Arabidopsis thaliana: one gene and its partners. The protein of the gene in region 1 purifies or fractionates together with the protein of each later gene. This does not show direct contact. Each region holds a gene or a part of one and is shown on either strand. Other genes may lie near its edges. The genes, in order: AT3G59510, AT4G29700 and AT4G29710.

The links.
Region 2: the proteins of AT3G59510 (region 1) and AT4G29700 fractionate together in Arabidopsis thaliana (co-fractionation; one large-scale study listed by BioGRID). This does not show direct contact.
Region 3: the proteins of AT3G59510 (region 1) and AT4G29710 fractionate together in Arabidopsis thaliana (co-fractionation; one large-scale study listed by BioGRID). This does not show direct contact.

What each region holds. Positions count from the first base shown.
Region 1 is NC_003074.8:21,987,889-21,991,924, forward strand, and holds AT3G59510 (Leucine-rich repeat (LRR) family protein), read right to left. Parts: upstream 1,960-4,036; 5' UTR 1,825-1,959; coding exon 565-1,824; 3' UTR 501-564; downstream 1-500. Other genes in the region: AT3G59500 (Integral membrane HRF1 family protein), read left to right, coding at 1-281.
Region 2 is NC_003075.7:14,542,479-14,546,930, forward strand, and holds AT4G29700 (Alkaline-phosphatase-like family protein), read right to left. Parts: upstream 2,833-4,452; 5' UTR 2,647-2,832; coding exon 1,261-2,646; 3' UTR 660-1,260; downstream 1-659.
Region 3 is NC_003075.7:14,546,285-14,549,451, reverse strand, and holds AT4G29710 (Alkaline-phosphatase-like family protein), read left to right. Parts: upstream 1-1,857; 5' UTR 1,858-2,049; coding exon 2,050-2,451; 3' UTR 2,452-2,667; downstream 2,668-3,167.

The DNA of each region.
Region 1 (4,036 bases):
CCCCTCTCTTGGATATTGTGGCATATGCAGGCTATACTTTCACAGGCCTTTGTCTAGCTGTTCTTGGCAAGATAATCTGGGGATACTCTTACTATGTTTTGATTCCGTGGACCTGCTTATGCACTGGGGTATTCTTAGTGAAGACAATGAAGCGAGTTCTCTTTGCAGAATCTAGGAGTTATGACTCAAGCAGGCATCACTATCTCTTGATCTTTGTTGCTTTAGCCCAGTTTCCTCTTTTGATCTGGCTTGGTAACATTAGTGTGAATTGGCTCTTTTGAAACGCATTACGTTTATATTGTTGTGAAAAACACCTCTGAGGTTATGTAGCAGAATTTGGAATGTCCTCCTGATGGATATATTATATGGTAGTTGAGCTTTTTTGGTTTAGACTTCTGTATGTCAAACATCAATATGGAAAGAAAAGTGTTATCTCCCTTCCCTTTTCTGAATCTCACTTTTCATATACTACATTTCTAACATGATTGAAAACCGAACAAGGACATGAAATTTGCTTTGGTAATTATGCTTTCTAACAGAAACTGCTTCCCATGCGCTTGATCTCTACTCCAAGCTCCCCAGCATTGCATTGGTGCATTGTGATTTTGGCTTTTGTGTTCCTTGGCAGATTTGAACATTCTTAGGACATTGCAGACAGTTGTTCGATAGGTTTCCTCTGATCTGTTTGGTAATCTTTTGAAACTCCTCAGGAAGTATACCTGACAGGTAGTTGTTCTCCAAGTATAAGCTTCTCCATGAATTCTCCAGTCTTTTCCCATAAATCCTAGGAATATCGCCAGAGAACATGTTGCTCCGTAGATTGATATCCTTTAGGTTTTCATAAGTTGCCAGGTTCAGCGGAAGGTGCCCCTGTAAATGGTTTCCTTCAGCATCAAGCATGCGCAGGCGTGATCCTGTAACTTTAATAACCTCTATGGATATGAACTGGTTAAAAGACACATTGATGCGTGCAATCTCAGGGAATGTTAGGATTTCATGGCCAACGGTGCCTGAGAATCTGTTCTGGCTCACATCTAAAGACACAAGCTGTTTTAGCCTATGCAAGGGTGATATACGTCCTGCAAGGCTATTGAAACAGAGTGATAGAGTTCTTAGACTTGGGGGAAGCTTAGGAAGCATTCCATAAAGATGATTGTTACCGAGTTCTAATACTTGTAGCTTCCACAAGCCGTTGAGCGCAGGTATTCTTCCATCGAGATGGTTGTTTGATAGGACCAGGTGAGTCAAACTTCTCAAGGCTGAGATCCTTGGAGGGATTTCACCGGCGATACTGTTTTTCGACAGGTCGATGGTTTTGAGCTCCTTGAGCCGCGTGATTTCTGCTGGTATGTCTCCAGTGAAGAAATTTTCTGCTAGTGAGAGTTTGGTAAGTTTCCGGAGCTGGAACACAGATTCTGGTACTGGACCGCGGAATCTGTTTTTGTTGAGGCTAAGGACAGTGAGCTCAGTTAGGTTTCCTACTTCATCAGAGAGGAAACCGTCATAACCGTCATCATCAAGATCGATCTCTATAACCCGGCTAGTTGTGTTCTCCAGAGGGAAAGAACACATAACTCCCAAGAACGTCCCTGAGCCTTCACACGGGTCTTCAGAGAAGTCCCATGTGCTGAGGTAAGAGGATGGAGAGATGGAACTTGGATCAACGCTGCGTATTATAGACTCTAGAGCTTGAATATCAGATCGAAGAGTGGCTGATAGAACTGATGAAGGGACAATAAGTGAAAGAAGTAGAAAGAACAAGGACATGATGAATACTAAGGAAGAAGAAGCAGAAGAAGAAGATGGTAGTATTTTGACAGCCATTGTTATGGTTCTTCTTTAAGAGGAAAGATGGAACCATTTCTTTTTAAGTGAGTATTCTTGTAAGAAGAAGAATAAGGAGAAGAAGAAGATCGTGTTGAACCTAATTGGAATCTAACATGCTTCAAAGGGTTTTGGGTATGTTATTGGTGAGATTCACATCTTTGTAGCATCATCATTAATAAATGATATATCAAACAAAATATGGATTGACTCACATTTAGTTTTTCTTTTTCCATGCTTTTTCCGTTCACGGACTTGGACAATATCACTTTGTTACAATAAAAATCACAAACAAAGTGATAATAACTTATGGTTATTAATTTTTCATGAAGTTTTACTTTGAATTCAAACTTTTGTAAAATTCACATGATAGGCATGTGTCAGCTTGAAATTTGGAAGATAAATTTAGAATTCAATCTAAGAAACCACAAAACTAGAGGTGATCATTTGACCAATTATCTAAGTAAAGACTATTGAAACATTCCACAAAATTTTAATTTTAGTAATTCACTATATATAGACGTTTGATTTTACATATAAATACATTGATGATTCAACCAAAAGATACAGAAAACAAAAAAAAAAAATAAAACCAAAAACAGAAAAAAAAACAAAAAAAAAAACAAGAACCATTTAAAAAGCTTATCAAGCACAATGGCCATCGAAAAGAGAACCATGATTGCCTCCTTCATCATCGTTCTGATGATGGTAACGATGATCGCAACCAACGTTGAGGCCCGGAATCATGTCAAAATCAAGCCACCAGCAAACCCCAAGTTCTTCTTTTTCTAAATTGATGGCTCATAATGTTTACAAGAAATAAATGGTTGGCTTCAACAAGGAGCTTCAAGCCTTCAAGCATTAGTTAAACTAATGTTTACTTTTTATATATATATATATATATATATATATTCACTTTCATCCTCTTATTTGTTTTAGCTATGGGTGAGATTATCTAAATAAATTTTTATAAATAATAACATTTATACTTGAATAAAATAAACTAGTTTCAAATTTCAGTCACAAAGATTTATTTTATGTTGTAGCTAGAAATTAATAACAATTATCATTTATCAATATATTTGTTTTTAGTTTAAAGAGGGTATAATATCCTTAAATTAATAATATTAGTAAAATTGTGTTATTTAGTTGTCTTGTGTCTCGATATATAAGGATTGGTTCGTTCCATTGTAACTTAAATGATGAATAACAACAACGTACGTGAGAATTAGAATACTGAAAAGTGAAAACTACATAGTGTTTAAATAATTGTCGTCAATTGCTGGAATACATATTTGTGCGCCAAAATTTAAGGATGGGTTCAACAACAATAAAACGAACATAGTTTTGATATTGTCATTGTTGTTCATTGATAACGACAGTAAAAACAAAAGGCGAACATTCTTTTTATTTGTTTGTAATCTAGTATTAACAGACGATCAAAAACATGAATCTGTAATCCCAAATTTCTAATAAGTTGACAAACGATCTACCATGTTTAAATTTCAATTCGTCCAAATTTGTTAGTTATTATTTTGGTTACATGATATATAACCAAAGAAAAAAAACAATTTGGTTATATATATTATGTAGCTGACTTGATGAACTTTAGAAATTGTAAACGGATTTGTCTCTATTTATTTGGATTTCAGGCAGCTTATGTATGTTAGAACATCATGTGAATGTTAGACATGAACGTAAAAGAATAACATGTTAGCTAGGGACTAATTACCAAAGCCATATTTTGAAGAACAAAATCAAAATGAAAGTTTATTTTGACAAGAATAATAGCAAAACATTATTTAGCTATTTTTTTTAAAATGGAAATCTATTATATCAGTCATATTTAGCTATGTTTTTCGAAAAAAAAACATTATTGCTATGTGAGAAATTCAACCGTGATCCTATAACATTTTTTCCCACAATTAAACATTGAATTTTCCTATTCCAGATTTTTTATAGCTGGACAAAAGAATTCATGGTGAGAGGCCCAAGGTCTATTACGACCTAGGCCCAGTACCACAAGTCAAGCCGACACAGACAAAAAATTGGATTCAATGTTTTTTTTTCTGACTCGATTTGGTGAAAAGACGAAACTTTCTCCTGGAAAAATCTGGAACAAGTTAGCGCGAACACGACGAATCGAATCAGAGTCCCAAGGAAGAAAAGATCTCTCTTTCATCCTTCTGGAGAATTCATATACTTTGGTCGA
Region 2 (4,452 bases), on another chromosome or scaffold:
TGATTGGTTGAGCTCTAGCAACGTTCACATTCTTTATAGAGCGGCAAAGTTCTTTTTTTTTTCTCTTTATATATATAACAAGAATCTCTCGTGTTTTATTTTTGATTAACTAACTAATTCTTCTTCTAGTGTTAAGTGGCAGGTAATGGTGGGTGATATAACTTTTTGAAGTGTTGACTGTCTTGTCGGCAAGTAATAGATTCTCTAATCTCAAATCAATAAAAGCATCGTATGGTTTTAAATGCTATTATGATAATAGTATTAACATATGAATTAAATGACTCATCTACTGAAAAGTTGTTGAGATTTCTGATTTTCCCCATGTTTTTCAGAATCCTTTCACGTCCTGATCTTTATTTTTAATTAATACATAGGGATGGCCGAATATGATCGGACTCGAGATTCGTGACTTCATCAACACAATGGAAATTGGTGAAATGATAAAGAAAACGGTGAGTAATCTATATATTTTAATTGGAATAGATTTCTAGCCAAAATCTAAAATTTAGTCTCCAAGATCTAAAAAATCAAATATACTTAAAATACTTTCCAATGATAAAAAAAAGAAAAAAATGTATTAGGAACAAAGTATATGAACCACCATTTGTTTGGTCTCTAAAACGTCTCCTTTCAAATCAAAATTACCTCAAAAGTTGAAGAGATTTATTTGGTAAAGGAATTAACTACGGAAAAAACAACCCCTCTTTCTGTTGATGCATGGGTCTGCTCTTTTCCAATCTTATCTCCCAAAATTAAACAAGTCCAAGAGTTTTCTATATCGAACAATTGACATATCGAGGGAGAGTGAGAAAGAGAGATCTTCTTACATCACTATTATTGAGTAACTTTAATGTAATAAATTAATTCATATCAAGTAGATCATGATATGTTGAATAAACGTTACTATCAATATAATATTTACTAAACTGGACTTTTATGGATTGAGAGGTACATGTGACTGACTGCAATATATATATAAGTAGAAATAATTAGTTTTGAGTATTGCATAGTGTGTGATGTGACTTACTACTAAACATCCTACAAAAATGATATTAATTGAATTATTTTAGGAACAATTTAGGTAATGATTTAGATATATACATTCGAATAAAAAAAGAAAAGATGCCGAATTGTTCTATTAACGTCGCTTCAGTCCACGAAACCTGGTTATTCAAAAACATTAAGGGTCACAAGATTGAGCACATAGATTAGTCACTCATTATCATCTTACTTATTATTCATGAGCTAAGTGATTTTACTTCATTTTACTTCCCTTGTTGCTCCAGAAGGCAAGAGAATGCTCCGAGGGAACAAAGAAGAACCATTGTTCGGAGCTGGTCGGAGTCCAAGAAGCTCTGCAACGACGTTATAGATCTGCACATTCTCGAATGATGGCACTTTTTTTCCTCTACTAAACCTAGAACCATGTCCGACAAAAATAGTCCTCATCGAGAAGAGCTCGTTGTCATAACCATGGTCTCCATAGCAAACTTGAGCATTTGTTCTGTTCTGTCTGACCATTAGACCTTCTCCGACAATTCCTATGATCGGTGGAATCCGATAACTCTCTGAAAAATGCAGTCTCTCTGGTAGCTTCTCCTTCAAGTAAACTTTCAAAAACTCTCCGTTTTTTACTTTCCCTGAGCTCAAAGCTTCGTTCATCTTCGCCACGACTTCCGCGTTCTTTTCGCTTTGATTCTCGACATCTTTCCCCCACTGAGGATTGATTGCTAGCACTGGGCTGTAAGCCTGGATCCAAGCCGCGGGTATCTTGATCCAATCCGCTAAGTCATCAATGTAAATCGCTTTCTCGTTACACTCACAGTTGGTCACCATTCCGTGATCACCAAGCAATATCACATGAACCTCATCAAAGATCTCCCTCTGCTTCAGCCCCTTTATCACCCTACCAATCATTTTATCAACCCTAGAAACAGCAGTCGTAACCCGAGGATCATCAGGACCATAGTTATGACCCGATTGGTCTGGCTCATCGAAATACAACATCAGTAAATCAGGAACTTCGTCCTCAAGGTGATCAAAATGGCTCAAGACCGAATCAACCCTTTCTTCTAAAGGAACTGAAAGATTGAAATGTGGACAATATCCTTCAGGGCAAGTCCAAGAACTTTTTAGAACTTCAGAGCCTGGCCAAAAGTAGGTCACAGCCTTGAGACCTTGGTTTACTGCGGTTACCCACAGCGGCTCACCTAACCACCATTTTGGTTGTAAGCCTTTGTTGAACACCTCTCCCGTAACCGGATCGGTAAACTTGTTCATGATTATACCGTGGTAAGCCGGGTAGAGTCCGGTTGCGATAGAGTAGTGGTTTGGGAATGTCATGGTGGGGAAAACCGGGATTAAACCGTGTTTGGCCTCAGTTCCTCCGGATATGAGAAGGTCGATGTTTGGTGTGTCCGTTTTAAATTGGTAACCAAACCGGAAACCGTCGCAAGAGATCATTAAAACCACCGGTTTGTTGAGCTTCTTGAAAGGCCAGGGACGCCTGGTTTTGGACGGCCGAGAATCCAAACCTTTGGTACCGGCGTTAACGGCCGCTGCGGCTGCGATGGTGGCTACGATGAAAATATTAAGAAGGAAGATGAGAGAAAGTTTGAAAGAAATAACATTTTTGGTTTTAGCCATTTGAAATAAGGTTTGTTATGGTTCTTGCAGCTCATGTTATTTATAGAGCGTGAGAATGTAATTTCTCCCTTTTTTAATAACAGAATTAGACTTTTATTGAAATTTTGATGCTGCATATTGCTCATGTAATGCATGGGCGATCGATGGTAGTTGGTACATAATAGCTAGTGATATATAAAATCAGAATTATTTGGGGTTTTGTCTTTAATTAAGGAGGATATTTAATTGCCTGTCTGTTTAGATTTTTTTTTTTTTTTTTGTATATATTATAGCTTGGGTGTTGAGTTGGTGTTTTGATTGATAAATCATCACTACTCACTAGTACAACAATTTTTAGATTACATCATTAATATCACATAGCAAAAATTAATCAGTTATTGAAATAATGGAAATGTTATTAGTGATCATATTATTACAATGAAGTACAAAAAATTGATTAAAAAAATTAAAGGGACGTTGACAAAAGAAAATTTAAATCGGACATATTGAGGTATTTGTCAAAAATAAAATTTGGACATGAAAGATTACATTTACTACTCTATATATTTGTGTCAAATGACAATAAAAAAAATATCCTCCAACTTTTGGAATTTTGACTACTTTTCTAAATCGTTATGGCAGTTTGTGAAAAATAATTATAGATTCCTTGAATAAGTACAATATAAGAGTTAGGTAGAAGTCACGTTCACATTATTGTCAGCTGCATGATCCAGATGCGGGAGAGCCGTTGATATCTGATCTTACGGTCTTGATTTAACTCACGTGTTTTCACGTTGAGATATATCCGATCCTTTCGTGGTGACTGGATGGCCTGTGTTTGACCCTTGTCCCTATAAATGTAAAATACGCTTATGCCAACTCTATACGGTTTAAAAGTGTTTGGGGACCAGCCAATAATAGAATGTAGCCAAATAAGATGGGGCTTTTGTAAGATTGGACACATTTTAGCCCAATAATTAGAAAAAATGAATTTTTTGAATGGACTTATGGAAATAAGCATATATTGATAGGGGATATGACGGTTTTACCCCTTGTTAGAGGTTATAGTGTTGATAACAACACCATCGTTGTCAACAATTTTTTCTGCAACTCAAATCCTCAATCCCTTCTCACTGCCGCACTTGCTTCATAAGCACCATATTTGTCAACACCATCACTTTTAAGTCCATCAAAAACACTATCTCTTTTGTTTCCAATTTTCTCCGTCACCAAAACGTCGTCTCAAATTAATCCAATCAATCAAGTTAAACGATTTGTTATGGAAGAAATATAAACCCTAAGAATACTATCTAAGAAACCCAAGGGTTCTACTCTTAAAAAAGATTCAAATCAATTAATCCCCAATTCATCACTAATTCTAAACCAAAAAATTGTTCGTTATTGTCAACGTAGTTCACCGTCATCACCATTGAGAGAAGTATTGGAAAAATGAAGAAAAATTGCAGAAGGGTGAAAGCGTAACATAAACAGAGAGAGAAGTACCTATTTTTATAAGCATATGAGAAGTTACCTAACTAGACAAAGGCACAGACTTAATTGTGCTGATCTCGTAATTGATCCCAAATAAGATTGTATTGTATTAGCCTTTGAGTTTTGATAAGATTTTAGATAATATGACCCAGTGGACTTTATTTTCTAGTTGAGTATTGAATACTGAATGGTTTTTAGTTACTACACATCCATCATACAAATATGATATTTTGTAATATTTAGGAACAATTTAGGTAATGATAAGGTATATGCGTACGCGATCGAAAATATAATGTCACATAGAATTATAGAAAACATACACTAGCTAGTCACTCA
Region 3 (3,167 bases), on another chromosome or scaffold:
CATCACCTTTTTACTATATATCACTAAAATTGATATTATGAAAAGGATTTAATCATCTCAAAATGAAACCAAAGCCCATACGAATTACTCTGTATGAGTTAAAATAATGTTCTTATCTATTTTTTGGTAATGCAATGTTCTTATTGCGAGAAAAAAGTTGAAAAATTTACCTGATGCTTCCATTATTTTTCTTACGGTTTGAGAATGTACAATTCATTATCTTTTTGTACATCCTTAACATGATCATTTTTGTGTTCTTTTTCGTTTTGCAGTTTTGATTTTTTTATTAGCTATAGTGCACTTGGGTTGATATGTGAATTAAGTAAATTATCTAATAGGTATAAAAAAAAATTATGTTGGTTGTTGTTCCTTTATAAAGCTTTTTGTGATTATTATGTTATACAAAAGTAGACCTCTCTAACAAAATTAAAGTAACACACTATATATAGGGAAGCTTATAGCTTTTTATACACACCCCAAGTTGTTTAAGAAAAAGATATGTCTAATAAAAATAAGATGTATGGAAAATAAAATGTGCTAAGAAGGAATCTAGGTAGCAATAGGTCTTTGGTCATTTATTTTTGTACCTAGACTTTTGATTTGTTATCTCAAAGTGAACCAAAGTGATGATTAAAACAAAGTGTCCAATATTGAAATGCACAGAGATGGCCAAATGAGTAAGTTTACATGGCTTCTTTGCATTTTTCTGTCCCTTCGCTAAAATTCAAAAGGTTGGTGCTGGTTAACATCTTATTGGATCTGTACTTTTCTAATTTGGTTACATGGTCCCTTTTCATTTTCATTCCATGGTAATTCAAAGAAAACAAGATGAAGCAAATGAAGTCAAATTTATGTTATGTATTTGACCAGTATATAGATTTATGGTCCTAAACTCTTAATCATGAGATGAACATGAAATCCAAACTATTCTTTGATTCATGATTGTGACTTTGTGAATCTATTTGTTAGAACTATTGTAACATACAACAAAATCACGATCATTTACCAACAAATCACAATTTTCTCACTATAATCATTATCTTTGTCGATATCATATGTGTGACTATGACACATGATCATGCCTTATTTATGGAAATAAAAAAAACTCGAGTTGAAAAGTATCTTCCATCATAAAAATCAAGTCATGAAATCGATAAACGTACCATCAATCTTGTTATGTAAACTACTAGTTAGAACTTAGAAGGAATCAAGGAAAAAAAAAAGTCAATTAACAAAAATAGTAAAATACCAATATATTAAAAAATATTTCTATCAAAATTAAATTTAGAAAGTTTTCTTATAAAATTTTGTTTGGGCTACATTCAGAGCCCAGTAATTTCAAAGACCCATAGGATCGAAGAACTTCAAAACTAACCAAAAATAAATTAGCATGTGCTTTTTGTCCAAAAAATTAGCATGGGCTTATACTTCCCTTTATAAGCCCTTATATCAACACTGGCCATATTTACCACGAAAGGATATATCTCGATGTAACAAACACGTGAGTCAATTTCAAGTCAGTAAGATCAGATCATATCAACGGTCTACCACGTCTGGGTCATGATCATATTATTCGTTTTGGTTGAGTCATATCATAAATATAATGATAAATTGATATTGTGTCTTGTACGCTTTTACCTAGTTTTGGCATTGTACTTATTATAGGAAACTGTTCCTCGCTGCAAAGTTGTAAATATTATTCACGGGGAATTATTCATAGATTCCCTTCACGTTTTGAAAAATAACAAAACTGACAGATCAGCCAGTCGTTGAAGTTGAAGAGCCCACCACGAAATGTTTTATCTCAAAGGTAATTTACGTGAGTAAAATCAAGACCGTAAGATCAGATATCAACAGCTCTCATACATCTGGATCATGCAGATGACAATAATGATACTATGAATTTTACCCAACTCTTGTAGTGTTATAATTATTAAAGGAATCTGTTTCTACTGTAACATTTTTCACAAACTGCCATAGATTTAAAACAAAACAAACAAAACAAACATCGAGAATCAAGGCGAAAAGAACGCTGAAGTGGTGGCAAAGATGAACGAAGCTTTGAGCTCAGGGAAAGTAAAAAACGGAGAGTTTTTGACTGTTTACTTGAAGGAGAAGTTACCGGACAGACTGCATTATTCCCAGAGTTATCGGATTCCACCAATCATAGGAATGGTCGGAGAAGGTCTAATTGTCAGACAAAATAGAACTAATGCTCAAGAATGCTACGGAGACCATGGTTATGACAACAAGTTCTTCTCAATGAGGACTATTTTTGTCGGACATGGTTCTAGGTTTAGGAGAGGAAAGAAAGTGCCATCGTTTGAGAATGTGCAGATCTATAGCGTCGTTGCAGATATTCTTGGACTCCGACCAGCTCCGAACAATGGTTCTTCTTTGTTCCCTCGGAGCATTCTCTTGCCTTTCAGAGCAACAAGGGGGTTAGAATGAAGCCAAAAATCTCTTATAGCTCAAGAGAGCACTCAGACTCAGAAATAGTAAGTAGCTTGATAAATGCGAGTGAGTGACTAGCTAGTGTATGTTTTCTATAATTCTATGTGACATTATATTTTCGATCGCGTACGCATATACCTTATCATTACCTAAATTGTTCCTAAATATTACAAAATATCATATTTGTATGATGGATGTGTAGTAACTAAAAACCATTCAGTATTCAATACTCAACTAGAAAATAAAGTCCACTGGGTCATATTATCTAAAATCTTATCAAAACTCAAAGGCTAATACAATACAATCTTATTTGGGATCAATTACGAGATCAGCACAATTAAGTCTGTGCCTTTGTCTAGTTAGGTAACTTCTCATATGCTTATAAAAATAGGTACTTCTCTCTCTGTTTATGTTACGCTTTCACCCTTCTGCAATTTTTCTTCATTTTTCCAATACTTCTCTCAATGGTGATGACGGTGAACTACGTTGACAATAACGAACAATTTTTTGGTTTAGAATTAGTGATGAATTGGGGATTAATTGATTTGAATCTTTTTTAAGAGTAGAACCCTTGGGTTTCTTAGATAGTATTCTTAGGGTTTATATTTCTTCCATAACAAATCGTTTAACTTGATTGATTGGATTAATTTGAGACGACGTTTTGGTGACGGAGAAAATTGGAAACAAAAGAGATAGTGTTTTTGATGGACTTA